Drosophila melanogaster: one gene and its partners. The protein of the gene in region 1 interacts with the protein of each later gene in a pairwise test. Each region holds a gene or a part of one and is shown on either strand. Other genes may lie near its edges.

Region 1 (7,745 bases):
TTGCAAATTTTGATGATGTTACCCCTTACAAAAAATGTGAAAATTTGGCCAAAAATTAATTTTACAAAATCCGTTTTAAAGTGATAGGGGTTGTTAGTATTGGTCATAAGGAGTATAAAATGGTAATTCTTTTTGCTCTGTGACCATTTTTAGACAAGTTATAGCCAAAAAAGCCAACTTGAAAATTGAGTTTTTTGCCAAAAGTAGTTTCCAGATTTTTTGTGAAAAAAATATTCGGTATTTTGATCAAAACATTGAAAATAATGACTCAAATATGGAAAGTCATACCTCGTTGAGTTTGTTTTTTAAATCCCAATCGATTTGCATTCAAGTTTGGGAATTCTAGAATTTTTCATTTTTTTGCAAATTTTGATGATGGTACCCCTTACAAAAAATGCGAAAATTTGTCCAAAAATTAATTTTACAAAATCCGTTTTAAAGTGATAGGGGTTGTTAGTATTGGTCATAAGGAGTATAAAATGGTAATTATTTTTGCTCTGTGACCATTTTTAGACAAGTTATAGCCAAAAGAGCCAACTTGAAAATTGAGTTTTTTGCCAAAAGTAGTTCCCAGATTTTTTGTGAAAAAAATATTCGGTATTTTGATCAAAACATTGAAAATAATGACTCAAATATGGAATGTCATACCTCGTTGAGTTTGTTTTTTAAATCCCAATCGATTTGCATTCAAGTTTGGGAATTCTAGGATTTTTCATTTTTTTGCAAATTTTGATGATGTTACCCCTTACAAAAAATGTGAAAATTTGGCCAAAAATTAATTTTACAAAATCCGTTTTAAAGTGATAGGGGTTGTTAGTATTGGTCATAAGGAGTATAAAATGGTAATTCTTTTTGCTCTGTGACCATTTTTAGACAAGTTATAGCCAAAAAAGCCAACTTGAAAATTGAGTTTTTTGCCAAAAGTAGTTTCCAGATTTTTTGTGAAAAAAATATTCGGTATTTTGATCAAAACATTGAAAATAATGACTCAAATATGGAATGTCATACATCGTTGAGTTTGTTTTTTAAATTCCAATCGATTTGCATTCAAGTTTGGGAATTCTAGGATTTTTCATTTTTTTGCAAATTTTGATGATGGTACCCCTTACAAAAAATGCGAAAATTTTGGCCAAAAATTAATTTTACAAAATCAATTGAAAAGTGAAAGGGGTGGTTAATTATTGAAAATAGAAATAGAGAAATTGTTGCAAAAATAAGTCAAAAGCATCTGAAAGTACGATTCATTGTAAGTTCGGATATTAAAAAGTTTATTGTTTGTATGATTGTATGTATGTATTGTATTGCATTGTATGTATGATTGCATATTTTGAATTTTCTCAATTAATCAAAATCATTATGACTAAAACATAGCTTTAATATAAACGGTAAACAAAAACCTATCTATTTTAATTGCCGCATCACAGAGGTGAGTTGGATTATTTATTGGAGCATTTTGGTTAAGCAGCTCAGCCGCAGCATCCTCCGGCATTGCAGGATTGGGAGGGGGGCGGAATGCGCCCAATTCGTCGATTAGGCCTTAATCCACCTCCGCGATAACCGCTACCGCCTCCGCCTCCGCCACCGCCTCCGCCGCCACCGCCTCCGCCGCCACCACCACCGCCCCCTCCGCCCCAGCTACTACTTCCCCATCCATTTCCTCGACGGGAGTTATCTCCGTTGCTATCATTTCCAGTGAATGGAGACAGGAACGATGCAAGCCTGAAAGGAGGGATATGGGTTAAGGAATCCTAAGCTCTTAACACCCATTTAGCACTCACAACTGTTTGACGGCGAACCATATACCCACGAATGTGTCCAAAACTCGTCTCAAGTCCCATGGACGTTTCTCCCACAGACGACCATCTGCAAAACGAAGGGCTTAGCATTCTGGAGATCATATGCTCATTCACTTGCACTTACTTTGATCGACGTACGCCATTTTAAAGCTAAATTAGCATGCAATATCTTTTGTTTCTTTCAAATATTTCCAGATCTGGGCCGAAGCTGAATATTTTGATTTGTTTGTGTATAAAAAAAAAAATTGACGTGGTGTTTAGAGATGGACAAGCAAAGCAGCTGATGATACAACAAATATCGCATAGCCTACGCTGATGTCGATAGTCTCATATGTTGAAATAAATACATTTTTGAATTTAAAAAACATTTTTTATGAACTCATTAAAACAGAGCTTTTGCAAAAGTTATGGTTGGTATTTATTTATGTATTTCACCAGAATAACTATGTATTCCTATTTGGGTACTGTGACTTCGAATTTGCAATTGTAAATTAACGAATATAAACCCGCAGACCGATAGAAAAAAACCTGTAGCTATGTATTGGAGCTAATAGTTGATAAATGGAACCGACGACGGCCACGAAGCAGCGACCCAGGAATCAGTGGTTAATCGTAATCAGCAATTGCCCGCTCGAGTTCGAGTTTAAGACAACTGCGTCATAAGCGCCACATGGGCGGGATAAACCGTGATATCTGGGTCATTCAGGGTGCTGCTATACACGACCAGCCTTCTGTCGGCGCGACATCCTCCCAAGAGTCTTGGGAACCGGATGTCGCTACTATCCTCATCCGCCTCCAGCGGGCATATTGCAGCTCATAGTCGGCTGAATGCGGCCGATCCGGCGGTTTGGTCTTAGTCCACCTGATCCTGATCCAGGTCTTCCTCCTCCACCGCCGCCACCACCTCCGCCGCCGCCGCCCCATCCTCCACCGCCACCCCATCCATTTCCGCGACGCGGATTGGCCTGGTTATTGTTGCCCGTAAAGGGAGCAAGGAATGTTAGGAATCTGTGGGGGAAATCATACAGCATTAGCTATTTGGCACGACGTGCAGTCTAGTGGTAGACTTACAGCTGCTTAATGGCAAACCATATCCCGACAAATAGCTCCACAATCCGTCGCCAGTCCCACGGACGCTTCTCCCACACGCGCCCATCTGTGGAATTAGGCCAATGCGAAATGTGATGGAAATTCAAGGGTGTACCCAAGTCAATTGCACTCACTATGGTCGATGTACACCATGGCGCCACGCTATCCTCAGGGAAGCTCCAGCCACCCTCGATTTATTGCACAGTTTTACGGAGATATGTTTCTTACGGGTGTTTTAGGTTCAACAAATATCTCAACATGCTACTAGAGATGGACCAGCTGCAATGTCAAGTCATTGGTATTGTTCACCATAAGCATGTACCTATCGATAGATAATTTGGTGTTGGTAAACGCAAAGCGAATAACCCAATCAACAGCTGATTGAATAATGTAATGCATCTGGCAACACTGGCCTCGGACGGTTCGCTTGTGGCGTTTAAGTAAATTTATTAAAAACAAGCCTCGCTGGCGGTCTCCTTAATAATTGTTGTCGGCAGTGCGAATCGAGTGGAGTGCGCGGGAGGCGGGATTGGAGGGGCAGTGGGTATGTCAACTACAGTGAACACCAGCTAAAGTCAACGACAACAAATCCAGGTGAGAGACCAGAAAAGATATATGGGTTTGGAATTATCACGTTGGCAGGGCATAGCCAGCTATACTAACAGCTTGTTCCTAACCAAAATCTCGATATTCCATAGCTATAGTATTTCAATGGTCCACCGGCGGCAGGCCTTCCGTTTATTTTCGGCCACTGCAGTTTGCTAAAAATAGAAATGTCCACATAGACAGAATTGAAGGTGTAGTGCATCATCATCATCATCAGAAAGGCCACCACCACCATCATCATCGTCATCATCACCATCGTCATCCGGTATTCAGAATTTTTGGGAATAGATGTTCTTTCAACCGATTCGCGTGTCTTGGACTAGTTCCTCCCACCTTTATTTTATGGGTGTTTCATTATACACATGCCAAAACTGGTTTCGTTCCTACAGAGAGAATTCTATACGAGCATTCGGTTCGCACTTTGGTTTGTCAACAATCTGCGGGAGCAACTTGACCTTTACCTTTGCCGCCAACATGTTAACCCGTTCTCCCCCGTCAAACATGCGTCTGCCACCCAGGGATTGTCTGTATTCCGTCAAGGTTAATGCTTCTGGCAGGTCTCCCTCGGATTTTGGCATTCCCCCTGCACTACACTTTTCCAGAAAACTGTAGAATCATTATCAGCTTGAATTTGGTTGGAAGAACTTTCTGTAGGAAGAGTCATAAATCCATATCCAAATTGCCCGTTTCTCGACTTTTATATATTTTATATAAAAATCCTGTCGTTGTTAGCATATTCAAACCAGACGGGTCAACTACTTGACATCAATCAGAATCGATATGGTCGTTTTTTTTTTATAAGCAATCAATGGCAATGCATTATGTTAAAACAAATGTAGTTCTTTTGAAAAATACACAAATGTTTACCAACCGCGTTAGTTAGATTAGAAATGTAGTGGGTGCCCATTTTCTAAATTCTCAACTTTTAATGAACCATAAATTAGCATTAAAATAAGCACCACCTATTAAAGTCGTACGATTATCAGTTTTCTGGTTGTAAAATTGTGGAAAATGAGGAAAAAAAAAAGTGTTCACCATTGCATTAAAAGCTGTATATACATATATGGCAGAATAGTAGCATTACACATGAGAAATTGAATCTAAACCACAATCGACTATTCGGATTTATTTACTTTTTAAGATGAGCAAAAAAAAAAAAGTTGTTCTCTCGTGAAATATTGGACGCAAATGTAGGTTTTTTCTGTATTAATGTTTATATGAATACAGTGGGATTATATACATATGTAGGCCATAAACAACAGATATGCAGCTATAATATTCTTAATATTCTTAAATATTTCATATAAATATCATGTGGAACAAGACCATTTTTGGAGATACTGAAACCAAAGTATGTAGAACTGCAAGATCCCCTAACTGAATAATTGATTAAACTCAAGTTATTCTTTTTTACTTTTCTGATATGTATATTCTTGGGGGGCATAGACTTAATGGCACCCATTTTCAACCGATTTCCGGCCACTGTGCGACGTCACTTCTAGCTGCACGCCTATTTGGGCAATCAGTTTATTGTGGCGGTCGGCGATTTGTGAGGTTGGTTGGTTAGCTGCCTGGCTGGCTGGCTGGCTGGCTAGCTGGCAAACCCGAACCGAATTTGTGTATATTTCTGCCTCTATTATTCTTTTCGTACTCTGTTTTCAGTAATCGCCAAACACTCGCGTTGTACGCACATTTCTTTCCCACTGGCTCAACATTTATTTTTCCCTCTGACATCATTCGCGGGTGAATCTCTCCGAGTGTTTCGCTTTCGCTTTTGGTTTCAATTTGTTGCTTAGAAATTTCCAGTTTTTCGTTTTTCGTTTTTTTTTTCCTGTGGAGCCACGAGCTTATTCGCTGCATCAATTGCTCTTCTTCCACTGCCGGCAGTCCGAGAATCGTAATGCGTGGAAGTCGGTGCCGCTGCGCAGCCGCCGAGAAAGTGCCGAAAGATTCAGGATTCAAGAGGGAGTCGCTCGTGACGTGGGATCAGAAGGAGCAGAAGGCTCAGCAGGATCAGCTGGATCAGCTGGATCGCTGGTAACAGACCGCTGGAGGGATCAGCGATCGATCGACTTCCCCCACAAAACAGACTGCCGCCAAGACATTCACCTTGCTCTTCCTTAGCCACCAATCATGTATTCGGCGGGTAAATAAGTTAACTGAGTAAACCACCATTCGAAAATCGCACCCGTTGTCATGCAAATTTATTTGGTTGTTCTGCTATTTATGTACACACTTAATATATATGTCGGATCGTTCAACTTGTTTCATTTCGTTCGCATAATATTGATCTTTGGAGCGTTTGTCATTGTTTAGTTCTTGTTTCGAGCTTGATTTCGTTCCGTTTGTCCCTTTTTTAGTTTGGAATTAGAATTGGGTTGGGGATTTCCTGCGCCGGAAACTGATCATCATCATCAGCAGCAGTGGCCACCCCAACCATCTGTGTATCCATGTGTATCCAACCCTCGATCCATTCACATTCATCGAAGTTCTCACACGCACTCTGCCATGGACATGGAAACGCACTTGTGGGCCACTTATGTAATTGACCGCATTTAAATGAGTCAGGCGGCGGCGGTATCAGCGACAGCTGGAGCCCGATAAGTTGGCTTCCAAATTGGGTACGCCTGAAAGGCCATCAAATTCCATCATCACCATTATCATGGCCACAGACTCACTATCGGGATTTTCGGGGCTTATCAGTAATTAATATTAGCGGGTCGGATATTTTGATTATTCTCAATTAATAACATTGAGGAAATACTCTATTTATTGAATTTATTTAACTTATTTTGTTGGCACTTGTAAGTGATCTTGTAAAAATGTAGTCTTATTCATTGAAATATTATTTGCTCCTCATATTTTGATGACGCTACAAGCTAAATATGTCGCTCTTTTCTAACTAATTATTAATTTATTAAAGTTGCTATTATGTCATGTTACCTAATTGGATGTTCGTTCTAGAGGGGATTGGGTCAAGCACTTTCGTTTTTTACCAGTTCAAAGTAATTTTATAGAATGATCTTTTAGATTGCTAAATCAGAACTATCAGCTATTTAAACTAAAATAACATCAGGAGATCATATTTCATACCGTATTTTTGCAAAACATTATTGTTGTTACTATTCTTGATTAAAAAGCTTATAAATTAAATGCAATTGTGCACTATTTTGTGTAATTGAAATGTGGCAATGTAACAACTAACTCATCAGCACCACCGCCTCACCTCTCAACTCAACTTAACTCAACTCATCTCATCTGAATCTCATCTACTTGTATTGCGAGTGCCAGTACTTCCGACTAATCTCAAACTTCGTTGCAGTCCGCACCAACGACTACGACTATCCCGAATCTGAAATGGACGAGCGGGAGAGTCTGTACTTCGACACCATATCGCTGGCGGAATCGGAGGCGGCGGCTGCTGCGGCGGCGCATCGCAAGTCGATCTCGCAGTCGCGCAACACCATCTACCACTCGGCGGTCGATCTGGCGGGCGATGAGGGAGGCGGAGGAAGCGGTGGAGGAAGGCTGCGTCTGGGCGGCGGAGCAGCCGCCGAGCACGCAGCGCTTGCCTGGCAGCCTGGATACCGTCAGTCCACAGCACTGGAGCACCTCAATGGCGGCGGTGGTGGTGGTGGTGATCACACGGATGCCGCTATCGCCGCCCAAATGATTGCCCTGCAAAACGGACGAAACCACCTGCCCACCGGGATCGGTGTGACCGGAGATGGAGGACAAGGAGGTGGTGACGATGAGGTCTCTAGACGTCTGTTAAGAACTAGTAGCAACATTTCTAATAAAGATAAGAAATTGCCAATAACATACTCCCAGTGGAAATCAAGGGTAAACAACGATAGTAGCATACGATTCCAAATCAACTTTCAAAACCAAATACGTTTCCACAACGATTAAGCACATGGCTCCGGTTGAAAGCCCACGCTTTTGCACTGCCGCCGATGTCCTTATCCCTCGCACGTCCATCGATCTCACCACCATGTTTGTCTTGCAGTTGCGTGGATGCCGAGTCAGTCAGTCATCTCATCCGCCAATCGCCAGTCACTTTCAACCATCTGCCGGATCGCTCATTCCAGCTTTCACACACGAGTTTCGATGGTCACTGGTGCAGTGGTTGCTCCTACGCACTCCCTTGATTACTCATCGAAATTCGAAACAATTCCCATTACTTAATATATTAACAATGTTTTTAAATGCCAATCTAACAAGTACTTAGCTATATTTTGTAAAAATCTATAG
Region 2 (9,807 bases), on another chromosome or scaffold:
TAGTGTCCATAATAACTTCATATTTGTAAAATGCATGTGTTTAGGATGTGAACGAATTAACCCACTTAAAGGGCCTGTTCCTTGCCCGTCCACTGGGGCTTAATTTCCAAAGGGTAAACGCGCTTACCCTCGATGACATAGACAGCTCCGTTCTTGTCCTTCTCCAGGACATTCAGAATGCATCGAGAGACATCAGCGGCACTCTGCTTGTTTAGCCTATCCAGGATCCTATAGGTCTCGTCACTCGTTTCCGGGAAGATGATCTTCTCCGTAAAGTTGGTGAACATGTCCGTCATTGTAGCTCCAGGACAAACAGTCACAAACTTGATGCCCGAGCGTTGATAGTACTTTTCGTTCTAATTAAGAAAGAGACTTAAATGAAAAACCTAATTCAAAAGATATGTAAGAAATTCTTGTTACCGCCAAGCACCGGGTGAAGTTGATGATGCCAGCCTTGGTGGCTCCGTAAACGGGAATGATGAACATTGGATCCAGACCCACCACCGAGCTCATGTTAACCACAATGCCACCCTTGCCGCCATTATCCTTGCCCATGTAGGGCAATGCACTCAGTGTGGAATTGATGATTCCACCGAGATTTACCAACAGAGTCCTCTGCACATCCTTGTCGTTAAAAATCCCGGCTACATTGACCACAATATCGATGTTACCGAAGGTCTTGGCTATCTCCTCATAGGTGGCTTCCACACCCTTCTTGTTCGCCACATCCATCTTGATGATCATTACGCTTTGGGTGGGATGAGCGGCCCTAAGTTTTACAAACTCCTCCAGATTATCCTGCAAATCAATGATGGCCACCTTCTAGGAAGCACTCGCTTTAGAAATTACTTCACGTAATTATGTGTAAAACAACCAACCGCTGCTCCAGCGGCCAGGAGCTGCTTGGACACCTGCAGTCCAATGCCTCCAGCTCCACCGGTCACCACTGCATTCTTGCCGCGAAAGGACATCTTGGTCTGGCTGATTCGTGTAGTAGTCGGTGGTATTCCTTGTGGCTTCATCAAGCACTGAGCTCCTCAGTTGCACTGCTGACTTGGAGCTGTAATGTTCGCCGCTTTTATACCTATTTCCCAAGGGCTATATGATATATCGTTGAGTGACTTTGGTTCGACTGCAATCAATAGCTAGTTTTCCACCTGCTCTGGGTTAGGATTATGCAACTTATGCCCATATATCAATTTCCATCCCCATCTGGTCGCTGTAGCGTTCAGTCTGCTTCACACCGCTCCGGTTTTTCGATGTCAGCTTTGCATCAGTGATAATGTCATTGTGTAGATAAAGCAATGATCTCTTAATAACTATCTTCCAGTGAAATCTTTGCTTTTAAGAAGGTACACATGTTGGGCATTTTTCAAAGATCTTACAATTAAATGTATATTTCGATTTACAAAACCATCTTAATTGCTTTAAAATTTTGGTTTTTTAAATTGTATTTCCTCCCAATACAAATTTTAGCAATGCAAATATTTTAAAGTGTATTTATTCAAGCAAAATTCTTGTGAAAACATAACATATATCTACATATGTATGTCGTATATCTTTGGTTTCCATATGTGATATTTAAATTTCTTTCACAAATTGTAATATTAAAAGTTTATCTGTTATCTTAAGACTACCAAACATGGGTTTGATTGCCATGAAATGTATATAAATTTGATTTGGATTTACTTTTGAACTCTTTTTGGGCCGCTTCAAAATTTTACGTATCAAAGGACAAAGAAGGATAAACAAAGTAAAGGAACTCAAAAATTATAATCAAAAATATAAGTTTATTTGTAAGCACTTAAATTATCACAAACTTATTATATACACAAAGATAAATTAGATTGGGAGACATTAACTAGGGAAACACAAAAGTTAGAAATACAGATTTATGAGAGGGTGAAAAACGGTGGTTACCCCATCTAGTGGGCATTGTCGTAGGTGTCCTTGTGCTGGTAGCCACTCACATATCCGGATCCATCGACCACGTTCCGTCTGCCCGCGATACCCTTGCCCTTTCCGGAGGCATCGAAACGCTCCTTGTGGGAACCGGTGTACTTGCTCGTATCCGTCAATCGATCCACGGCAGCTGCGGCTTTTCCAGCCTAAAAATGGTAACAAAATGTTGATTAGGTTTTCAATAAAGGCATAAAGTATATGGTTATGACTTTCAAAGGTTTAAAAAGATATTTTTTAAGAACTTCTGTAAGAAAACTACTTTAACAATTGATAGTTTAAATGAGTCAAAAAAAAATCATTTAAATTTTGTCATATCTAAATGGTCTTCTCGAAGTTCTTTACACTTTAAAATCAATCTTAATCATTTGACTTATATAGATCATATTTTTCACAACCAATTTATCAAACCCACCGAAACGGACACAACTCCTGGAGCTCCACAACTGGCCAACTTTTGCTTGATCTCCGACAGCTCCACCTTTTTCGTCTTGGCCAGATCGTCCAGGAATTTGTTGTAGTCGCTGAGCGAGATCTTCATGGCCTTGAACTTCTTGAAGTGGATGCCTGTATCCGTGGTGGTGATCTTCTTGTCGATAACTTTGGCCTGTTTCATCCACTTGTCACTCTGCGACAGCGTTATCAGCTTGCCATCGGACTTGGAGTCCCCGAACTTGGAGAAGGCCTTGAACTGATCCGAAAAGCTAACCTTGGGCTCATCCTCCAGCGCCAATTGGGCCAACTCGGTAGCGGGCACCTCAGGAGTTGGCGCTGGGGAGGGGCTTCCATTTGCTGCAGCTACCTCGGACATGGTGGATCTGAAAAATATATTTAATATTATATATATTTTTTTAACCTTTACTGAACCCTACAGGTGTTTTAATAGATGCCCAGTAATAAATAAACAACTACGGACAAAGAACCTTCAATTTTACAGATGGACTGAGGATCATTTATTATTAATAATATGCCTAGCCTGATAGGTCATTGTTTTGTTTAACATTTTGTAGTGGTTTCTTCCAACACGCAACTTTTCCGCTCCTGCGTAATCGGTTGACTACGGTTGTCACCTACGCAGTTCCTCACCTGTGGGCCACAACGCTCACCAACATTGCGGTGGGTCTTGTCCGTCACTGTCAACTATCTACATATGTAGGTGCTATTCCCAGACGTATCTTTGCGAACACCTTATCAGTACTTTACTCACTTCGCTTTCGCAATGATATCACAACCCATGCTGAACTGGACAAAGGCAAAGCTATACCCACCCAAAGCTAGGCCAAAGCTCTCTCAGCTAGATTTCGAGAGATGGAAATCTAAAGGCAAATTGGGAGAGACTCAATCATTAGATGGCGTCATCGGTTTGGGTCCCCCATCTCCCAACGCAGCTAATTATCGCCTTTTGGCAAACCCAAATACACAAAACAAATAGTCAACAGGTTTGGCTCACATGGGTTACTCTATGGGGGTCAGAACTTAGCGCTAGCTTGCTAGATCTTTTATGATTAGTCTCTAGCATGCAGTTATCATGGGTTTTAATAATCCTAAGGCGATATTAGGTATTTACGGTACAGCTATACAGTTATAGATATACCCTAAAATTATTAAAATGAATCACTTTTACGCTTATTAAAATAACAAAAAGAGCAATAAATATTTTACGCATCGCCAGAAATTCCTCGCTTAATTTGTTACCCACCGAACGTGGCATAAATTTGGATGATAATTTAGTTTTAAAATTGCTTGTAGCATAAATTGTCCTCTTGTTTACAGGCTACCCAACACGAAGTCGAATCCTCAGACCCATCCCCATCATTCCATAAACAGTAAATAAAACGTGAGCATTTATTGGCGGAGCCATTAATTACGCACCACTTAAGGTTGCAAGTTGGAGCCCCAGGAGAGATGGAAGCCGTTTGGGCAAGCATTTAATGCGGCGATAAGATGCGACTGCAACCAGTTTGGAGTCCTCTATCCGTGAGATATGATGCCACGGCTTGTGCCCGCACAGATGCGAATCGAAATCGAAGTGGACGGGCGGGGTAGAATCACCATGACCTTGATGCAGCCCGTCGAGCATGTCAAATACTATTTTACCACCCCCTAGCCCCATTCGCAATCCAAATCGAAAAATGAGTGCTTATGTCATCGCCTCATTACGCCGGCTCTTGATTACGCTGTTCTGGGATCAGCTTTGAATAGCTCTGGGGTGAGGCAATTTAATAGCCCATATTCCCCAGATAATCCATCGAAATGATCTATGTAAACTGAGTGGTTAATTGGGAACATTGCATGCATAGCAAGTCTGCCGGTCATTAATCATCTTATTGGTCTCAAGACCAGGGCCATTGAACTTGAACTCCGCTCAAGACGATACAAATTATCCGGTCCCAGTTCCCGGACAAGACTAATGGAACCCTTTACTCCGCCCCTACATGTAATTGGAAGCCATAAATACTCGGAAACAAGAAAAGTTGACAAACTACACCACAAAAGAAGTTGGAATATGCAAGAAGAGTTTTAAGATGGCAAAAAACAAGAGGCTATCGACTAGGAAATTACCTGTAAAATCAAAACTAATAAGAAATATCTTTAGGTTATCTATGGTGGCTTTCAAAATGCTTTTTTTCACAATAGAATTCATTTTGTAATATTAGTAAAATCAATCTTTTTTAACTACCATCAGCCAATGCAAATAGTTCGGATTGTTAGATCCAATTTTCTACACTAAGATTGACGTTATTAGTTTGATTTTTAATAGAAGCCCGATTGCTAATAATTTTCTGAAAGGTTTTACAAAAATCTAAATATTATAATTATTCGAGGGAAATACTAACAGTTTAAGATGATCGTAATCAATTTAAAAAGCGGAAGTATTAAATCATCGCAATCGACAATGGAAAGACTCATCCTATGATACCCTGATCAGACTTGGATACTATATTCACACAAAATAAATTATTTTCTTAATATTCTTTGGCAACTCAAAGTGCAGATACCCCTCGTGAAATGAATGGCAGAAAATCAGGCAGTCTGATGGGGAGCGTGGATAGTCTAAATCAGAAATAATCCGCTTGCTTGTCAGACCATAAATAATTCGATTCTTCTCATTTCCCATCTCTGTTTTGGATTCTTTCTCTGTATTTTCGATTTGGAGAACAAGTTCTCATCCAGCTCCAGTCGAGCATTGCGAATTCGTTGCCAACATTTTAATTAGTTTTCTACCAAAATGGTAAAAGTTAATTGGGCAATATATATGACATATGACCACAATTTGAATAGGAATATGAATGAATATTATAGATAGCCATTTTCGAAAAGAATGGACTTCCTGGAGAGGGGAACGCAATTATAAACCCAACCTACCTCAAGTGGACCGCTGGAAAGCGAATGGAGGAAGCGAAATTTGGGTCATCTCGATGTATATTTATAAAACAAACGACTTTGGGGGGAGAAACATGAAATACTGCACCACATATGAGTTTACGTGTGTTAATAAACACACAGAAATATTAGCACCTCGGACTGAATGCATAAATTAAAGAGAACTTTTATTTTGGGGGGAACAAAACAGGAAGTCATGGGCATTCTGATAGAGCACGCAACGCAATAGAGAAATCATTGACTTAGGAGGGGGACTTATGCTCGGGACATAATATGTGTATGAAATGTGTAGCTACATCACCACTAGCCCAGATGACATCACTGGGAGCTGGGAAACGCGCAAGCGCCAGTTTGGAGAAGGGGTTTCCTGGGGGGTCTCGGTACTGGAATTTCAGACTGATGATTCAAATGCACGCATATATACACACGGAAGCGGGGAAAATGCGCCTAAATCAGGACCTCCCAAAGGAAATCGAAAACAATGGTGCTCCCCAGGAACAAAAGAAAAGGGGAACGCGATGCGCGGTAAGTGGGTCAAAATCTGCTCTTGAAAATATGAACCTGCTACTCATAAAATGAATAAAAAAAATATCCTTGGCTCGGAGTCTGCTTATAGATGCAGGATACAGTAACATTTTAAAAAAAAAAATAAATCCAACGAACTAGATTATTTTTCTCGAAACGTTTCCAACTTACATTTGTTATTAAAAAAGTTCCAAAAATTCTTGAATATATTTCCAAAAAAATATTTGTTTTATTCCTCGGCTATTTTCCAATCACTTTAAGGCAAACGCGCGAATGCTGGCGATGTCGAAACTCAACTGTTTGGACAAATGCGCAGCCAGTGGCTAGCGAAGGCCCAAGCGGCGTATGAGTGATATTTTTGTTTTGAGTGAGCTTTCGCTGAGTGAAATAGAAACTCAAAAAGGAAAATCCTCCTTAGCATTTTATCCAAAGAAAAGATGGCAAATCGTTGGTGAGCTAACATAAATTCCAAAACTTTCTGAATGAGATAAGGAAAACGATTTGGATCTTATAGACACTTTTACTGACCCCCCAATTTTTTTTCAAGCGATGACTTCATTTCGCAAAATTTTATACACGAAAACTAACAACGAAAGCCACACGACGAAGCCATTTATCAGAAAGAAAAAGAAACAAACGAGACCTAAAAACAACTCAGAATAACAAAAGTGACGCTACACACCAGAATCTTATCAAACCAACAAGTTACACTCAAAATTTTGGTTTGTTGTGAGTGAAATTCTAGGGAATAAAGCTTAAAGCTTTTCCTGATTTTATATTGTCTAAAGAGAAGGGGAGGGGTTCGCCACACAGTCTGAGCTACTAAAACAGTGAGTTTGTAGTCAGTAAATTTGTTTAAGCGCAAAAAAACAAAAAACGATGCGTGAAATTGTTGGGCAAAAAACACACACAACAAGTGCCAGACAATTCGAATAATGAAGGGTGTATCTTTTGGGCTTACTTAGACGTGTTTTTGGGGTGTGACTTGGGCTATACTAACCAGTGAGCTCATGCTTAGCTATGCAAATGAGTACTTATTTCAAGCGGTTAAGATTTGTCGACCGCCTTACTAGGTAAATGGGTTCTTTGAACTTTTCTATTTTGGACATTCAGGAAAAAGTAAAAGTCAAATAGGAAATCATAAGGAAATTACTTCGCACTCCATAAAATGATTAAACACATACTGAAACAACAAGCCCGTCCTAAACCCAAAACAAACCCTAAACGAACGAAAAAAAAACCTTTGACATTGATTTATGAGAACTGACGGTCGGAAGAATTTGGTAAGTTTTTGTGGCCAACTCGATGAAGTCATAGCCCTGGCCCAAAACCAAAATACAAAGCAACTGAAAGACTAACTTGGAAAACGAAATACCCTGAGGAGACTTCTAATTAATTTCGTAAATTAAGCATTAGGTATTACAAACAGAGGTCCATTGATTATTATTATTTAATATACAATGTTTGATATGTAATTTAAATATTTCATTCTACAATATTCATTTAGTTTATTGACCAGATGACGTTTAGAATATTCTTTAATTAAAATTAGAAAGAGTTAAATTTCCTATATTTATGGAATGTTTTACAGCTGAAATACCTTTTAGACTGATTCGTTTGCTCTTTTTTTCTAGGACATAAAATCAAAGTACTCCCAGTCCTGAAAAATGAAAAACATGATTCTTGCCACCTGGCCTATCTTAAGTGCACCTTTAATTAGCCACGAAGGCAGTTCAAAGAACCAATGGTGGTACACAAATCAGGGCACAGTCCACTCGAGACAGAACAAAGGGAGTGAACCAAGTGGACCGGACTATATTGCCAATCCAACTTCAATTCCAGGCCAGAACTAACCAGCTCATTAAGCCAGGCTGGAATGGTTGTAGAGAATTGGGCTTTGATTGAAACTGAGTGCCAACGGGGCTAACATTAAAACGCACTTATCAGCCGAGCCGTCAAGGCCAATCCAATGTGGTTCTTGCAGTTGCTCCTCCTCCTCCTCCTAATCGGGAGCGAAGTTTAAGCACCAGAGATCTGAGGCATCCGATAAGCCCGCTGCTAAAAATAAAAATGACCAGCGAAGGAGGAACAGGAGATACCAATGCAGCTGCAGTGCATCAGAGGCGGATGGGAAACATATTCTTAGGGGGTTTTCTTAGTGTCCGGTTGAAATAAGTATATATCTTCAGTGTATACTATAAGGTGTCTAAAAATTCACATTATATTATTTATTTAGCGGACTTAACGATTTAATTAACCCTTTTCTGTGTCATATTTGTAAGCTCTTCGCATAAAACATATATTTCTTATGTACATACATATGTATCTAACCAAGTATTATAATTTTTAAGGGTACTTATGACCCCCCTAAGACCCCCATTTTGTTCGCCACTGGAGTGCATGACTCCCGTGTCCAAGCTGTGGCCAAATGTGGCCCTTGGCCTTCACTCACCTTGAGATGCCGTTGTTGTCGTCGTCGGTTGTTGCCACAGTTGTTGCATTTGCTGTTGCAGTTGAAGTTGCTGTTGTTGTCGTGGCCCCGTTGCAGTGTGCGAACAAAAAGGAGGCTGAGATGCCACAATGCTGTGGCAGCAACAACGATTGCATATCAATTACACGCTGGTCTGGATGCGGTCTTTGGCCTTGATGGTCCACCCAGCCAAGGCCCTTGGCTCGCTTGCAGATCCAGATGCAGATGCAGATGGAGATGCCAGGCAGCGATTGCTCCTCCCGCTGCGGAGAACCAGGGTCTGCCTCCCTCATTTGGGCCCACTCCAGCCTTGGCCACAATTAAACCAAATTGACAACGCCTTCACGAGGCGTCGATCCCCAAAAGGGGAGTGAAAGGCGGAGCTGCAATGTCCGTTAACGACACAAGTGGACACGACGACGCATTCGCATCTCCTCGTTTGCATTGAAGTGCATCTGATGGATACATTTGGAGAAAAAATTAATTGGCTGTTTACTATTTTAAAATGTGACAGATATTATTACTATTAGGTTATTCTTTAATGAAATACGTGTGCTTGTACAAATTTGATGAATTCTATTTAAGTACAATAAACCACCTTTTTTATCAATAATAAAATATTTTTTTAATGATTGTCATAATCATAAAATTAAAATTTCAGGAATTTAAGAACAGTCTTTTTTAGCAATATTATTATTTATATGCATTTAAATTTATGTTTTAAGCTTTGTACAAATCATTATTAAACAAATTACGAACTACTTATTTTTGGATTTAATTTAAGTCATAAAAATCACGTTACTATATTAGGGTAAAAGAGCATAAAACATTTGTATACTCTCTTAGATAATAATATGGCATACTTTTAGAATTTTTTCGCAGTGTATCAGAATAGAAGCATCTGACCGGCAGGAACCTCAGCCAGAACCAGAACCTAGAACTCGCGAAAGAACCTGCTGGGTATAAAAGGATGAAGACCTAGGCTCAGAATCAACAGTTACCAGTGAACTGACGAACAAGACTCACTCGAAGCAATCTTCCACTGCCCAACCATGAAGTATCCACTTCTGCTGTTAGGAAGCCTCAGCTTGGCCCACGGACTGGCCTTGTACTATCCCTATGCGTACACTGCCGAGGGATCCGCCGTGTTCACGCCCACCCAGCGCCAGTATATCGCCAAGGATGAGTTGGGTCAGTACTCCTATGGCTATTCGGAACCATTGTCCAGCAAACAGGAGACCCGCACCCTAGACGGAATCACCCAAGGATACTATAGTTACCGGGATGCGGCGGGAAAGCTGCAAACGGTTAACTATGTGGCCGACAACAAAGGTTTCCATGTGGCAGCCACTAATCTGCCAAAGGCTAAAGTTCCCCAGGAGTCGCTAGAATTTAGTCCCAGGAGCGCGTCGCATCCAGTAGACCACCATGTTGAGCATCACGCGGAGGTGTCGCATGCTGTAGTTCAG
Region 3 (6,901 bases), on another chromosome or scaffold:
ACCAGCGGGAACAACAACGAGGAAGAAGCAACTGTAATACAACAAAGATTAAGAAATTAACAACTTCAACTTCGTACAGTAAATATATATATTTGAAAATAGAAAACCATTAATAATAAAACGAAAAAATCGAAAAAAAAAATTAAAAAATCAAATTGTTAACATAATGGATATTTTGTTAAATGCAAATCTTTGAACGAATTACTAACCACATTAGCAAATAGTTAATGAAAACCGAACCCAAGTGTGCTTCATGTATGAATTTATGTTAGATATTTACAACAATACGCGTATACATATTCCTAACTAAACCAAGCAAAAGAAAAGCTACATACAGAATTTGCATATTACTCTTAACGATTAACAACTATTGGTGTCTATGCATATACACATATAGATTAACGAACTATACTATATATTACCTTATATATGTAAGCCGAGTACAGACTTTTGAGAACTGCGAAACGTATCGTGAAATATCCGAAACACACATATTTGTCATACTTGCTAAAGAGCATATACATATATAAAATACGTTAAGTGCTCAAGGTGATAGCTGCACACTAGGGTGGACCATAGTTCTATTTATAATTTAAGGCTTGCACTCTCAGTACGATATGGTTTCAATGTACATCACTCATACGCCGTGTTGCAAGAGCGCACTTAGGTGGCGTATGAGTAATTTATGCGAAATCTCACCTACTTTACGTAGCCCTAAAATTAGTGGAATTTGTGCTTTGTACTAAAATTGAAACATTTCCAATTTGACCACTATTAGCCAAATATAAGAGAAGCTAAATATGTACGTTTATATATTTACACATTTTGTATGGTATTGACACTACATTATTTTTAAAGAAAAACCATTGAAGAGAGCTTTAAAAATATTAAATGGTGACTTTTTGTACTTGTATAACTTAGTTTTGGCCAAATACTTTGCGAATAATAAAGTTTATGTGGCAATATGTTTTTGATGGTTAGTTTGCACCAGCTGGTCCACCCTACTGCACACCCACAAATGATCACACATACAGAAGGACACCCACACACATACTCGCCAATTAGCTTGCCACATTGTTTTGGTCGAAACTCCGAGGTAATACTTTAAAGCGAATCACTAACCACAAAAGGACGCTCTGGAATCGCGATTTCTTGAGTAAGTGCCTTAAACTGACAGAAAGATATTCGTAGAAATGAAGAGTGGGTGGGTTTTGAGGACTACGAAATCAGATCCAAAAGTAAATCGATTGTTTTCAGTACACTTGTTTTGGGGAGAAAGAGAGACAGACCTTTGTTTAAAACTCTACTAAGCGTTAGCCCCCCGGCAACCAACTAAATGTAGTTCCAGAAATCAAGCAAACAGAATAGTTAACTCTATGCTCCGATCTATACTACTATACCGTCGCATTTGAAGTAATTGTACGATTAATTGTGAATTCAAATCATGTAATTGTGAGTGTTTATGGCCCGTCAACGTTTTGCTCAACGCACACACAAACACACACACACACACACAAACGCGTACACTGAGAGAAAATAATATAAACATGGAATACACACACTCGTACACCCGCTTTGCCCAAGTTGAAGACAATTTGTGATTGTTTTGCATGTACCCTAAAGTTAAGCGAGTTTACACGAATATGGATTAAGCCGCAGAGAGCGGAAACGGAAACGTAAACTGTACGAGTAATAGCATTAATTGTCTAACAATAAGATTTGTGCATTATACGATAGAAATTCACTTTGAATTCGTATTGAAATTTATCAATAAAGCGATACTATTTGATTCTTACTTCGGGCGTCTAATTTCGTGGTTATTTATATTATATTTAAAATTCAAATGTTGGGATTTTCTAAAAATGTATACAGTTTATTTCATTTGTACATTGGTTTATTGAAATAGTAATTTTTAATTTTTTTATTTCATTTTAAAATTTTATTTCTACAATATATCACAGCTGTTCCCCAAAAAGCGTGCTACGAAAATTTTGCCCAGTAGCTAGCTGGATTTCGAAGTAGATGTGGTCACCGTTGCGGTCATTGTGGTTGTACTGGAGGTGCTGGTGGAGCTGGACCGGGACTCGGAATGGGAATGGGAATGGTGTCCACCATGCCGGGTCTCCATGTGTCGCTGTAGATCCCTGCGTCGTGGAAAGGATTTATGGCACACGTGGCACTGGTAGTCAGCATCCGTCTCCCCTTCGATGTCCACATCGCCGTCCATGTCGGCACCACTTGCTCCACCATCGGCGACTCCCGCGGAACTACTCGGATGCGTCTGCAGATGCAGCCTCACATGCTTGTTGAGATTGCTGGGATCGCCAAAAGGTCTCAGGCAGAACTTGCACTTCAGCGGCTTGAATCCGGTGTGGGTGCGTATGTGGATCTTCAGGCCATATTTCCGGGAGTACACCTTGCCGCAGTAGATGCACAGATGACCCTGCTTGGAGGCACCCATATTGCTGACTATGGCCTCGATCTGGGCAGCTGCATTCATTGGATTCGTCGACAACGGTGCAGTGGCCATCGACATGGAGGGCAGGTAGGATAGAGGCGTTGCTGCTGTGGTTACGGGTACCATGGGCAAACTCTGGGTAAGTGCTGCAATGGGACGGAAGGCGGAGAACCGTGGTGGCATCTGCGGCGGTGGCGAGTGGGTGGGCGAGGCCGAAGACGTGGACGAGGTCGCCGGAATGGGTGAGTGCTGGGTTTCTGTGTGACTTCTTGCTGCCGCCTTCAGCGCGTAGTGAAGTCGCATCCAAAGGATGTCCATGGCACTGCGACCACAACCCAGAGCCAAATGGATCTTCAGCGGGTGGGGTGTCTCGAAGGTCAAGTGGCAGAGGTGACACATGTAGCGACTATTTCCTGCAATTAAATGTAAAAATTGGGGTTAATATTGATACGATCAATTATGATTTATATTATATAAATTATTTATTCGAATTATTTAATGTATTACTAATAATAACACAAATTATTTAGATGATATTTACCTTGAATGTTTAGGGGCGTCAGGAAGGGAATGCCCATAAGGAGAACCAACTCCTCACCGAACCAGGCCACGATCTCGTCCTCCCGGGCTACATCCCTGACCAAACGGACGCGCACTTGTCCACCATGCAGTTCGAAGATGGCATTGAAGCTATACACATCCTCGGAGAGTTTGATCTGCCGCAACAGTGAACCGGATACGATTAGTTCGCCATTGGACAGCTGGCAGTGGGAGCGGCTGCCATCCGTGGGCATGACCGTAGATCCCAGGAGAGCCGACGTGGGAATGGCCATGGAGCAGGTATCCTTGGGCGTGTACTGCGAGGCGTAAACACCTGGTCGTGGATTGCTCATCCTCATCCGCTTGGCCGGACTTGCGGTGCTCGTGGTGGCCGTCAATGTGGTTTCTGTCGATGAAGTGGTCATGCTGGTCGGTGTGATACTGGTGCTCGGCAGGAGTTGCTCAATTCGGAAGATCAGGCTGGCCGAGCGCTTCTGCTCCAGACTATCCAGTTGAGCTGTCGTGTGCATCGTTCGCGTTCGAATTCGATTCTGCGTTCCAATTGGAAGCGAACCGGCGTTTTTATACCACGACGCATCCGCATCCCAATCCGCATCCTGCTCCCTTATTTTTCGGATTTGGATTTGCCACGGCCTTGCAGTGTCACAATGGCACGGCTGGCGGCAAGTGCAAGAATTCCCAGCCCAGAATCCAGTCCGGCACCGGCTATAGCCTCGACATAGCTACGCACTTTGCCGGCTCAACCCCCTGGCTCATTTGGCATCCCTTTTCGAGTTCCTGGTGCGTCCTGGTGGTTGCTCGGCAAGTGCAACATCATGTCCTCGCAATCACCAGAGCACTAAGCCAAGCTAAGCGGCCTGTAGCAAGTGTGCGTATTCCTGTGCCCGAAAAATACCCCCTCCCACATCCTCACCCGTCGACGAGTCCTTTCTTTTTTTGGCTTTTGGGCTACGCACAAGGAAAATGTTTTTAATTGAAATTAAACGATCGTTTGTTGTTACTTCCCCCGTTGTTGTTGCTATAATGCCACCATATACAAATCGCATTCGCCATCGTCAATGTCATTCGGCACATGGTTCCTCCCACCCCCAGGACGACCACCCCGCCCCGCATCCCACCACTATAATGCTAATGCCATAATATATTGGCGTGTATCGTTTCACTATTTGCGGTTTGGGGTGGGTCGTGATTTCTGGGCTCGACGGTTGCTTCGTCGGCCAGTGGTGCGGATTTCGCGAGTCTAGGGGATTCATTGGTGTTAATCGATGGTACGAAGCAATAAAAATAGTTGGAAATATTTAGTAACTTTTGAAAGAAATTAAAGTAAAAACTTTGAAAGTTAAACTATGTTTGAAATAAATTTTCTATGAAAGGAAACATAAAAATGGTACTACATTTTAATTTTCATTTATAATTAAGCTTAAGTTGTATAGAAAAAATTAAATTTAATTTAACAAGTCATCATATATTATTTGATTAATTTCTATTTATTATAATATTTATTAAAGACATTTCACTATTAAAGTGGTGCTTCAGTTGGTTTTTTCTAGCGCCCCTTTTCCGTATTTCCGTAACCCTCATTTAATGCAGCTCCGCTCCTGTCGGCTGACAAATATGCTACGAGGCTAATGTTTTCATTATTGCGACACAATCCCCTCGTCGAGCGATCAACAGGATAAACTTGGGCTAGCGATTCGCAGAACAGGGGAAAAAAACATGTGTTGCCAGTCACACAGCCGCCGCTCCTGGTCCAGAGGGTTGGATGGGTATTGGCGGCCAAAGAGGACATGCCATCCCAGCCAAATGTAAGGTGTACCCGGCCAGGACCAAATCTTGGCTTGGTGTTTGCTAGTCCTCAGTAAGTAGGCCGCCATGGGGTTTTCATTTAAAGCATTTTAATTGGCAATTGCTTTACAAATGGATTGCAGTTAAAATTGCGATAAAATGGTTTTCTCATTTGTAACTTAATATTTTAGTGCATAAATGTGATCCATCACCATCGAGTTTTTAGCATTGCAATACAAAGATGAATATTATTTTGAGATCAAGAGTTTTCTTAAAGATGGTTCAAATATTTTACTTTCGTCGGTAGACATAGCCACCTCCACCGCCATCATCGTTGCCTCCCGTCTCGTTGTCATCGCATCCATGGCATCCACCTCCGGCGGCCAGCTTATCCAACGCTTCCTGAATCTCGATGGGAATGGGTGGCGGTGTGGGCAGGTGATCGCCCTGCGGCTGGAATCCGTTTTCGTCCGCAATGTAGGTCAGTGAAATTTCCTGGCCCTCGGGACTGGTGTACGAAAAGGAACCCTCCGCCGTCTGTGCCTCCGCCCCTTCCACTCCGGCGTTCTTCAAGTAGCCCATCTCCTCCGCCTTAATTCCGTTTCCAGTCTCGTACTCGTACTGCCATATAGATTATTTAAATTATAATTAAATATTTAATTATATAGCTTACTCACCATATAAGAACCATCGGTGTTGACCTTGGACTCCAGCTTAATGATGGGTATATCCTCACCACCACCGCCGCCTGCTCCTCCGCCTCCCGAAGATCCTCCATTGCCATTGCCTGGTGGCAAGTATGCGTTACTGGGCGGGGGTTTTCCATTGCCATTTTTGGGTGGTGGCCCATAGCTGGGTTTGGGTGGAGCAGGCGGTGGCTTTCCATTTCCCTTCTTGGGAGGACCATAGCTGTTGGCCGGAGCCGGAGGAGGGGGTCGAGGCGGTGGAGCTGGTGGCTTGACTGGCAGATAAGTGGCCGGAGGACGGGCACTCGGATAGCCCGCCGGTTGGGACCGAACGTAGCCAATGGCGATGCAAATCAGGGAAAACAATGTGGTCAGCCTCATCTCGATTTCAAATGTGGACTGCTGGTCAACGGCACTCTGTGGTTTTATATGAGCAGCCACAGGTGGTTCTTCGACCGCCACCCCAATGACCCCAGTGGAGCAGTCACGTGCCACGGCTTCCGATTGGAATTGAAAACACAATGAAAACGAAAACAGAACCAAAGAACTGGGCCACAGCAAGTGCAAGTGCAGAAATCCCCAGAGCCATCCGATTAGTTGAGAGACTGACAAAGCGCTAATAAATTGAGTGTGCAATCTCGATTTCCAAATCCCGCAGCCTTCACCCCTTCAGCTAATCGCTAAAAACAACAAAACCCGCCCGGCCACAAGCAAAAACTTTTAATTCAAAAGCAATTTTCAACAGGATCGGGCAACACCTGCATGCCCAACTCATCTCAGCTCAAAAAACCGAACCCAACCCCGCAGGATCCCTTGTCTAATGCACTTTGCCTGTTGCCAAGGGGTGCTAAGACCTGGACTCAGGACTCAGCGCTCAGGAATCAGGACCTTCGAGTACAACACCCCACTGAAACCGAACGGCAGGGATGTCGGCTTTAGTCAATCGTCTATTAACTTTTTGCCAGCTAGTGCACAGTGGCGCTAGGTTAATATAAAGTGGGAATGATTAATGAATGAGTTATCAGAATAAAAATAAACTTACCTTAACATAACTGATTAACATAAACTGACTTACTTATATTTCATTGTTGGATATATAATATAACATAACAGACATAGCAATTTTATCTTGTAACTCAACATATTTTCTAATCAAAGTTAAAACATTTTTTCTTATTATTCTTATTTGTCTATATAAGCCTTAATGCTTCTCACAGCTGTAATGCCAAATTTTGTAATTTGTTATTAACAATAAATATTTCTTTAATGCTTTTCAATTTTTTTTATCAATTATACTTTTCAAAAATGGTACCACTGTGCTCCTTGTTGCGGCTGCTGATGTGTGTGTTTATCATTTGGTAGCTCAGCTTGTGCCTGTCGTGGATGCCGCTAATATAGTATCGGGCCTACC
Region 4 (7,403 bases), on another chromosome or scaffold:
CATTAACAAATAAATACTGTGGATACATCATTTATTAATTTACATAATTAATGCCTTACTTATAAGTACATAGAACTCTCCCTTGAACCTAAAAAATAATGTTCAATGTCTAGAAAAGTTAAGTAAGTTATCTGACATGGCAATCTTGATTCGATAAGAAGTGAAACATATATAAAAACTGAGTATTAATAAAGTTCGAGATTGATAGCAACATTGATAGTAAATCAGCATTCACGATGTTTAGGCAAGTTTTCAAAATTTTCATGAAGAAAGCTGATGTGAAAATGTTGAAGTCCTATAAAAATTAGCCTATTGATATTACCAGGCAAATAATTGCGTAGTTCATTTGATGTATTTGCTTTAGTTAGTATGTAGAAAATGTTTAGCGTCTCCATTCAAGTTGCTTTGTGTGTGTACTTAGCCCACTTGTATTGAACTTACTCATCGCACAATGTCGACAATATCGCAAGTATTTCACACAATTTCACACGATTCGCAGACAGATAGTGGTATAGTGGTAAATATACAAATATAGAGGGAGTTACGAGTAACTCTCAATGGGGCAGCAAATACAAGTGGGAGGCATTTCGAAATACTCCAAAATAAGTGGGGCCAGGGTCAGGGGTGTAGTATGTAATATATATATATATATCTGAATAAAACTCACCTCGCTGCAGATTGTGTACTTAATTTAGGCGATGAGTTGCCAGCAGCAGAAACAGAAACATTGACCTCGGAACACTTTTCGACATTCGCCTTCGATGATGATTAAGTACTCGAATGCTTTTCGATTACACGCGTTAATTTCACGAAAATATAGTTTAATGGACTTCTTTTTACAGATTTTCGGTTAAAATAGTTGTGGATTATACAGTTTTTAAAATAATATACAGTAGATATTGGTTTGTCTTCATTTGGTTGTCGAGTTTACTTTGTAGTTAAGGTGTTATAACTGTGCTGTTTTCAATGTTGGAATATTTAATATTTTCAATGCTAGTTTTATATTTAATTAATAAGTCAATTTTGCGGATATTTGCTGTACATTAAAATATACATATTTCATATTTATATATTACATGTTTACTTGCGCATTTTATTGCTTTCCCTAAACAGGTAAAAATTCCAGGAAAATAAACAATTTTTGGTGGCTCAGTTGTGGATGTTTATAGACTTGATTTCAATAATCGCATATTTACACTTCTGAATTTTCGTTTCTGATAAATATTTACGCGATATCTTGAAATCGCCGAAAGTGTAACAACATTTCGACGACCTACAAATCCGGGTGAAATAAAAATGATTCAATTTAGTGGGTTAGTCGCAGCGACTAAATGAAAAGCACCCCGCGATTGAGGTGTAAAATGAGGTAATTTCGAATTTAAAAACCCGGAGACCAGGTAAAAAAAAGTAAAAAAAAAAAAAAAACAAAACAAAACAGGTTTTTAGCGATGATAACAAGATGGAACTAAAAAAAAGGGGAGAGAAAAGGGAAAAACCGGAAAGCTAGACGCGATAAAAAAAATGCTAGTCAAGAAAGCGAAAAGCAGCAACTAACTGTATTCCTATAGAGCATATTTTTAAGGAAATCAACCCAAGCACATGTGGTTTTAAAGGCGACAAACAAACAAACATACGTACACAACCACATGCATCATCTGTTTGTAAAATATTCAATGGAATCCAGTCACGACCCGCCGACGCAAAGACAATTTGCAAAGACAGTCTCGCAATCGCAAAGGCAGAACGACGGCAAATGCAGCGGAAACACAATCGAAAGAGCAATAAAAACTATGCCGACACAAAACCAATTAAATATAGTTGCAGTTAATTAATTATAAACCGTTTGGCGAAACGAAAATAAAACACTGGTGGGCATTATTGATATTTTTAAATTTTTTGGCGTCACTGACACAATTCGCGCTCTCTCGCTCTCTTTTATTTGCCTTTTCTTTTGTTGCTTTGCATGTGTGTTGTGTTTCCCTTGATTTTTTTTTATTGTTTTGTCTTGTTTGTTGCTTCTTTTTATGCTTCTCTCTCTTTGGCAGGAAGAACGAGAAACAAACTCAAAATTCTCTGAATATTTCTTTCATTCGGATTTTTTGTGCTGAGCTGCTGAGCAAAGAAAAAACAACAACAACAAACGCCAACGCGCCTTCTCACACAAGCACAATCAGACTCGCACACACATGCACAGTTCAAATTAGTTGGGGCAACAACAATAAGCGATGACTATTGTTATTTAAACACGGCTGCTTTTTTCTCTCTGCTCATCGCTGCAAAAGCCACGCGACAATTGTTATGTTTCAACTGCATTTGGGGAAATAATACTTTAAGAACGGTACATAAAAAAACATTTAAATCAGCACAGTTTCGCGAAGCAAAGGCAATTACAAAACCAAACACTTGAGGGCGCCGCGACGTGTGGAAAAGAGACGGCAGAGCCAAAGACAAAGACAGCTGAGAAATACGTGGAAGCGGTGATTTTCGATTTGTTTTGCTTTTGCTTTTGAACGTCAATTCTTCAATCTATATTTTTACACACAACAATATTTTAAAAACGTTTATATTAATAGTTGTTTTTGAACACATTTAGCGCCAAAATCTCTTCATATTTTCCCGGCGATTTATCGGATTTACCGATGTATTTTCAACACAAGTGCGAATCTTTTATTTTTTTTATAGGATAACCAAAATAATTTACCAATGTTTTTCGTCTTTAAATATTTGAACTTTTAGGGAAACAGCGTGCGCATTCAGCGCTCTCCCGAATTTAATTGAAATGCGCGCCTCCGGTGCGAAAATTGGAGTGAACCCGACGCAAAGTTGAAATGAAAACAAACTGACGACGGTGTGTCCGAATTTCGGGTGTGTTAAAACACTTCTGCAATGCTAACAGAGCTCTGTAATGTGGATTGTTCTACTGTTGCCATACGGTCACACACTTTTAAGCCGCTCAAGTGCTTGTGACACCACTACATTTGATATATAAATTAATATGCTTCTAAAGAGCTTAATTAATCATAAACTAGTTCATCTCTGGAATTTTGTGCTTATTGTTTGCCCTAACAATTCAGACTTTTGAAATCTTAAAACCCAATTCCTTCCATTGTACTGGACTCCACAATGTAGTGTCGTAGCGGTATAAGTATGATCTCTCTGTTAAGCGCAGCAACAAGGTGGCAGCGCTTGCACTTCCGCTAACGTTAAAAGTTTGAACAACCCGGCAAAATATTTTAAATAATTTAAATAAATAAATAATAATTAAATAATTTAATAAATAAAACACAAAGCCTTTCATCAATTTTAAAGAGCTGCCTATATTATTTTGCTAGATTTTGCTTGTGCTTTTGTAGTAAAACAGAAAGATCGTTAATGAGGAATATGAAAGTGTTTTTACTAAATACAACTTTACCAGAATCTTTGGCATAAAGCCAAAATAATACTTAATATGAAATATGTTCTTATCAAACTTGCAAATTCAATTTTCCCGCCAAATGTAAAGTGTGACCAGTTACAAGTACCAGTCCTTGTGAGCCTCTGGTTTTTTATTAGCTAAAAGCGGCGGGCACTCCGCAACTCAGCTGATCGATCAAACAAAAAATATTGATACACAGGAATTTATGAAAAAAAATGCGCAGCGTTTAGAAAGGAGAAAGTATTTAGTAGCACGCACGAAATGGACAAGAATCTGGATGAGGTTTGTGTTTGTACTCTCCTTTTTTTATATTCAGCCCCCTAAAACCGAATGGACTGTGTGTTTTGACTGCTGTTTACTGATACACGCCCCAATTTTTCATCGCCCAGGTCAAAGACACCGTACAAAAGAAGTTCAATGAAATCCGTGCTGCGTTGCATATGCGCGAGAAGTTGCTGCTCCGGCAACTGGAGGTCATAGCGAACACGCGACAGCAGCAGCAGCTGCTGAAGAAGTCGCCCACCGAAATGGAGAACTCGAACTCGGTTGGCAAGAAAGATCAAAGTGGTGTGCGTTTCATTCCCGGGGAAAGCGAGGATGCGGAGGAGAAACTACTGACAGCCATCCGAAGCTACGGACACTTTCTGCTGGACAACAGTGATATGCAGTTGGCGCTGCAGGATTACCGCACCACGGGTTTGAGGAACGAGGACTACATAGAGCCACTAGATGACCACGAGACCATGTACAAGTGCCTGCAGGATGGGCAAGTATCGTATCTCGATCTGGACGAAGACGGTGCCCCACCAGAGGCCATTGTGGTCGACTTCTCTCGCAACAGAAGTCTCGTCGAAGATAATGCCAAGCGCTCCATTATCAACATTACACTGCAGGAGGCAAAGGATCTGATAAAAAAGGCCAAGATCAAGAGGGATACATATGTGCCGCCCTTAAACTTGGAGGAGCTGGATGACGAGTTGGAATCTTCGATTGCCGAAGCCGTTTCCAGCTTGGGGCGAGAAACCTCTGCCAAATCAAAGAGCAGCGTACAAGAACCACCGAAATGCAAGGGTCGCAAACAGCGCTTCAAGCCAAAAATCACAATCAACAATTGCAATGGCACGATCAATCTGCGCAACATAGCCAGCCTGACCATCAACTGCGCCAGCGAAGAGGCGGTGAGTGCAGAGATGCCCCTGGCCAAGTCCGCCGATTCCAGTACCACCGAACCCTCGAACTCCACGCCCACCACCACCGCCTCCAGTTCCAATTACTCCAGTAATGCCAGCTCCCGTTCGCAGTCCAAAAAGCAAAAGGCGAACAAAAAGCTGGACAAGATAGAGCGTGAACCCAGCTCGGATTCCACTCCTACGCCTGGACAGGCCCAGCGGTACGAGGAGACCGAGATTCACGATGTCACCTGCGATTTTTACAATCGCCTACTCAACGAGATCAAGAAGAGCATGGTAGAGAAGCCACGCAGGACATACAACCAGTTGGCAGAGCCCGTTCAAACATCGGCTGCCGATTCCAGTTGCGATGCCAACTGCAATCCAAAGCAGTCGGCTGCCAAACAGGAGCCAGTTTCGACCACCACATCGCTAACGCACAGCGAATCGGGACCACAATTGCAGCCGGGCAAGCGGCTAATCCTTAAGAACTTCGAGAATCTCAAGATCATCCTCGAGGCAAACAGCGGTGATGAAGACTCATTCCATCCCGTCCAAATCGAGCAGTGGCTGGCAGAGATTATCTCCGAAACGGATCTGGAGCCCATGCAGAACACGGATATCCTGGAGCACAGTCGCATCCACAGCAGCGAGAGTCCCTAGAGCTGCGGACTCGCTGAATTCCGAACTATTTATATCGTTAGTGCACTCAGTATTTTCTGTTTGTTATGATTAGCTATAGATTCCTTAATTTGTTTTTAGTTTAAATTCTAATTTTAATTAGTTTTGATTTCGTGCAGACACTTGCAAATGTTTTTTATATCCAATTTAAACTGAAATTGGCCGCACTGGAGCTTAGGAAATTTTTAATCGAAATCGCTGAAGTTTATACATTTGTGTATAAATATATTAATATTTAGTATACGGCATAAAAGTGAAAGTTTTAGAAATGTAACCATATACTTTTATTTATCAGATAATGTTTTTTAAGAACTAATAGTACCCAAACCTTATTGCTCAATCAACTTTCACCAGAAACCAGAGCCGGATCCAATTGTTTATGTACTTAATGCATTTGATTTTGTGATTTTAATCTTTTCGTAAGACTCGAAACTGGTACCAATTTAGCAAGTAAGCTCCAGCCAGTGTTCAATGCTCACCGTAGCCCATTTGTAAATGCAATCGAGAGAATTCCACATTAAAGTGTTAATTGCCATCACAAAATGAAACATCTATTCGATTTCTTGCTACTGGATCGACCGGTTCGGTTCGTTTCGTTCGCTTGAATTTCGCCATGCAATTGAAATTCGAAATGTACCCTGGGCCATTAGACTTCCAAATCGGGACAATAGATAAGACCATCGAAATATACATTCTAGTTTGGGTGTGCATGTGAGCGAGGCACTCCAAAAGCATTAGTAATGTTGATTCGAGACTAGAGTGGACTTCTTTTATTGAATACACATCTTAATGTATTAGAATAACTTCTATATTGATGTAAGTAAAAGCCTTTGAGTCTTATTTAAGCCACTTAATCGGTAAAATGAATATGCTGGTCCCTGAATATTTATTCTTTTGCTTATTAAAGTATAAAATATGGAGAGCTCCGTATAAATAATTAGAAAATCCTACAAAAATTGCACTATCTGTTACAAAAAGTTCCATTTTCCATTAATGATTTTAAGAGGTCCACTCTAATCTACGCATGTACATATGAACATGGTATCAAGACATCGGACATGGAACGTAGACCATTACTTGACCTTTCCGATAATGTCCAGCAGAAAGGGTGTGTAGTAGGTGATGATGCAATCGGCACCAGCTCGTCGAAAGCCCTTCATGGCCTCCAGCACGGCATCCTTGAGGTCAAAGGCTCCCGCCTTGGCGGCATGATACAGCATAGCGAACTCCCCGGAAACCTGGTAGACGTACAGCGTGTGATACGGATAGGAATCCTTTGTGGATCGTAGGATATCCAGATAGGGCATTCCCGGTTTCACCATCAGCATGTCGGCTCCCTCGGCGACATCACGTTGAATGGCTCTCATTGCTAAGCTTCTGGAGCCACTGGGCAGTTGATAGCACCTCCGGTCACCGAATTTCGGTGCAGATTGTGCTGCCTCCCGGAAGGGTCCATAGAAATTGGATGTGAACTTGGCGGAGTACGCCAGCAGGGATACACTGTTCATCTGGGCATCGATGAGGGCCTGCTTAATGGCCTTCACCCGGTTGTCCATCATGTCCGATGGAGCCACAATGTGTGCTCCAGCTTTGGCATAAGCCACGGCGATCTCGGCTATCCGCTTTATGCTGGGTCCGTTCTCCAGACCCGTTTCGCCCAGCAGGCCGCAGTGACCGTGCGAGGAGTACGGGCAGATGCACACATCACAGGCTATCAGCAGATCCGGAAACCATTCCCGGAGCTTCGGCAGTGCGAGAACGACTGGATTCTTTGCTGAATCCGCATTGGAGGCCTGCTCATCCTTCATGTCCGGGTCCACAACGCCAAAGAGCAGCACCGACGACAGTCCCTTGGCCACCAGCGGTTCCAGGTGCTCCTTCAGGCGATTCAGTCCGAATCTCGAGATTCCTGGCATGCTGGCAATTGGCTGGACATCGTCGTCGTTGCTCACGATGAACACCGGATACATGAGATTGTGCGGCGCTATCTCGCAGCCCGACTCCTGCAGCTGCCGCAGCGTGGCATGGTGCATTCCACTGTGCAGTTTCCGCTCCATTTTGTTCGCTTAGCTCCCGGTGAAAATTAAAACCAACGTAACAACAAGTGAAATTAACGTTCAACTGCCCGCGGGCATATT

Evidence for each region.
Region 2: the proteins of CG10353 (region 1) and ringer interact in a two-hybrid assay, tested with the Drosophila melanogaster proteins (one large-scale study listed by BioGRID).
Region 3: the proteins of CG10353 (region 1) and Prdm13 interact in a two-hybrid assay, tested with the Drosophila melanogaster proteins (one large-scale study listed by BioGRID).
Region 4: the proteins of CG10353 (region 1) and CG32100 interact in a two-hybrid assay, tested with the Drosophila melanogaster proteins (one large-scale study listed by BioGRID).

What each region holds. Positions count from the first base shown.
Region 1 is NC_004354.4:11,882,690-11,890,434, reverse strand, and holds the start of CG10353 (uncharacterized protein), read left to right. Parts: upstream 1-3,272; 5' UTR 3,273-3,479; intron 3,480-5,151; exon of another isoform or gene 5,152-5,153; 5' UTR 5,154-5,624; coding exon 5,625-5,637; intron 5,638-5,851; exon of another isoform or gene 5,852-6,112; intron 6,113-6,813; coding exon 6,814-7,334; intron 7,335-7,745. Other genes in the region: CG1840 (uncharacterized protein), read right to left, coding at 1,467-1,719, 1,779-1,863, 1,921-1,939.
Region 2 is NT_037436.4:16,353,260-16,363,066, forward strand, and holds ringer (ringmaker), read right to left. Parts: upstream 6,170-9,807; 5' UTR 6,040-6,169; intron 3,190-6,039; exon of another isoform or gene 3,046-3,189; intron 2,933-3,045; exon of another isoform or gene 2,832-2,932; intron 2,778-2,831; 5' UTR 2,771-2,777; coding exon 2,375-2,770; intron 2,109-2,374; coding exon 1,926-2,108; 3' UTR 1,487-1,925; downstream 1-1,486. Other genes in the region: Pdh (photoreceptor dehydrogenase), read right to left, coding at 66-356, 421-822, 879-1,022; Cpr72Ea (cuticular protein 72Ea), read left to right, coding at 9,391-9,807.
Region 3 is NT_037436.4:6,159,784-6,166,684, reverse strand, and holds Prdm13 (PR/SET domain 13), read right to left. Parts: upstream 3,559-6,901; 5' UTR 3,529-3,558; coding exon 3,000-3,528; intron 2,872-2,999; coding exon 2,003-2,871; downstream 1-2,002. Other genes in the region: Cpr65Az (cuticular protein 65Az), read right to left, coding at 5,096-5,425, 5,482-5,871.
Region 4 is NT_037436.4:12,263,954-12,271,356, forward strand, and holds CG32100 (uncharacterized protein), read left to right. Parts: upstream 1-3,574; 5' UTR 3,575-3,676; coding exon 3,677-3,697; intron 3,698-3,804; coding exon 3,805-5,247; 3' UTR 5,248-5,850; downstream 5,851-7,403. Other genes in the region: Pbgs (porphobilinogen synthase), read right to left, coding at 6,339-7,322.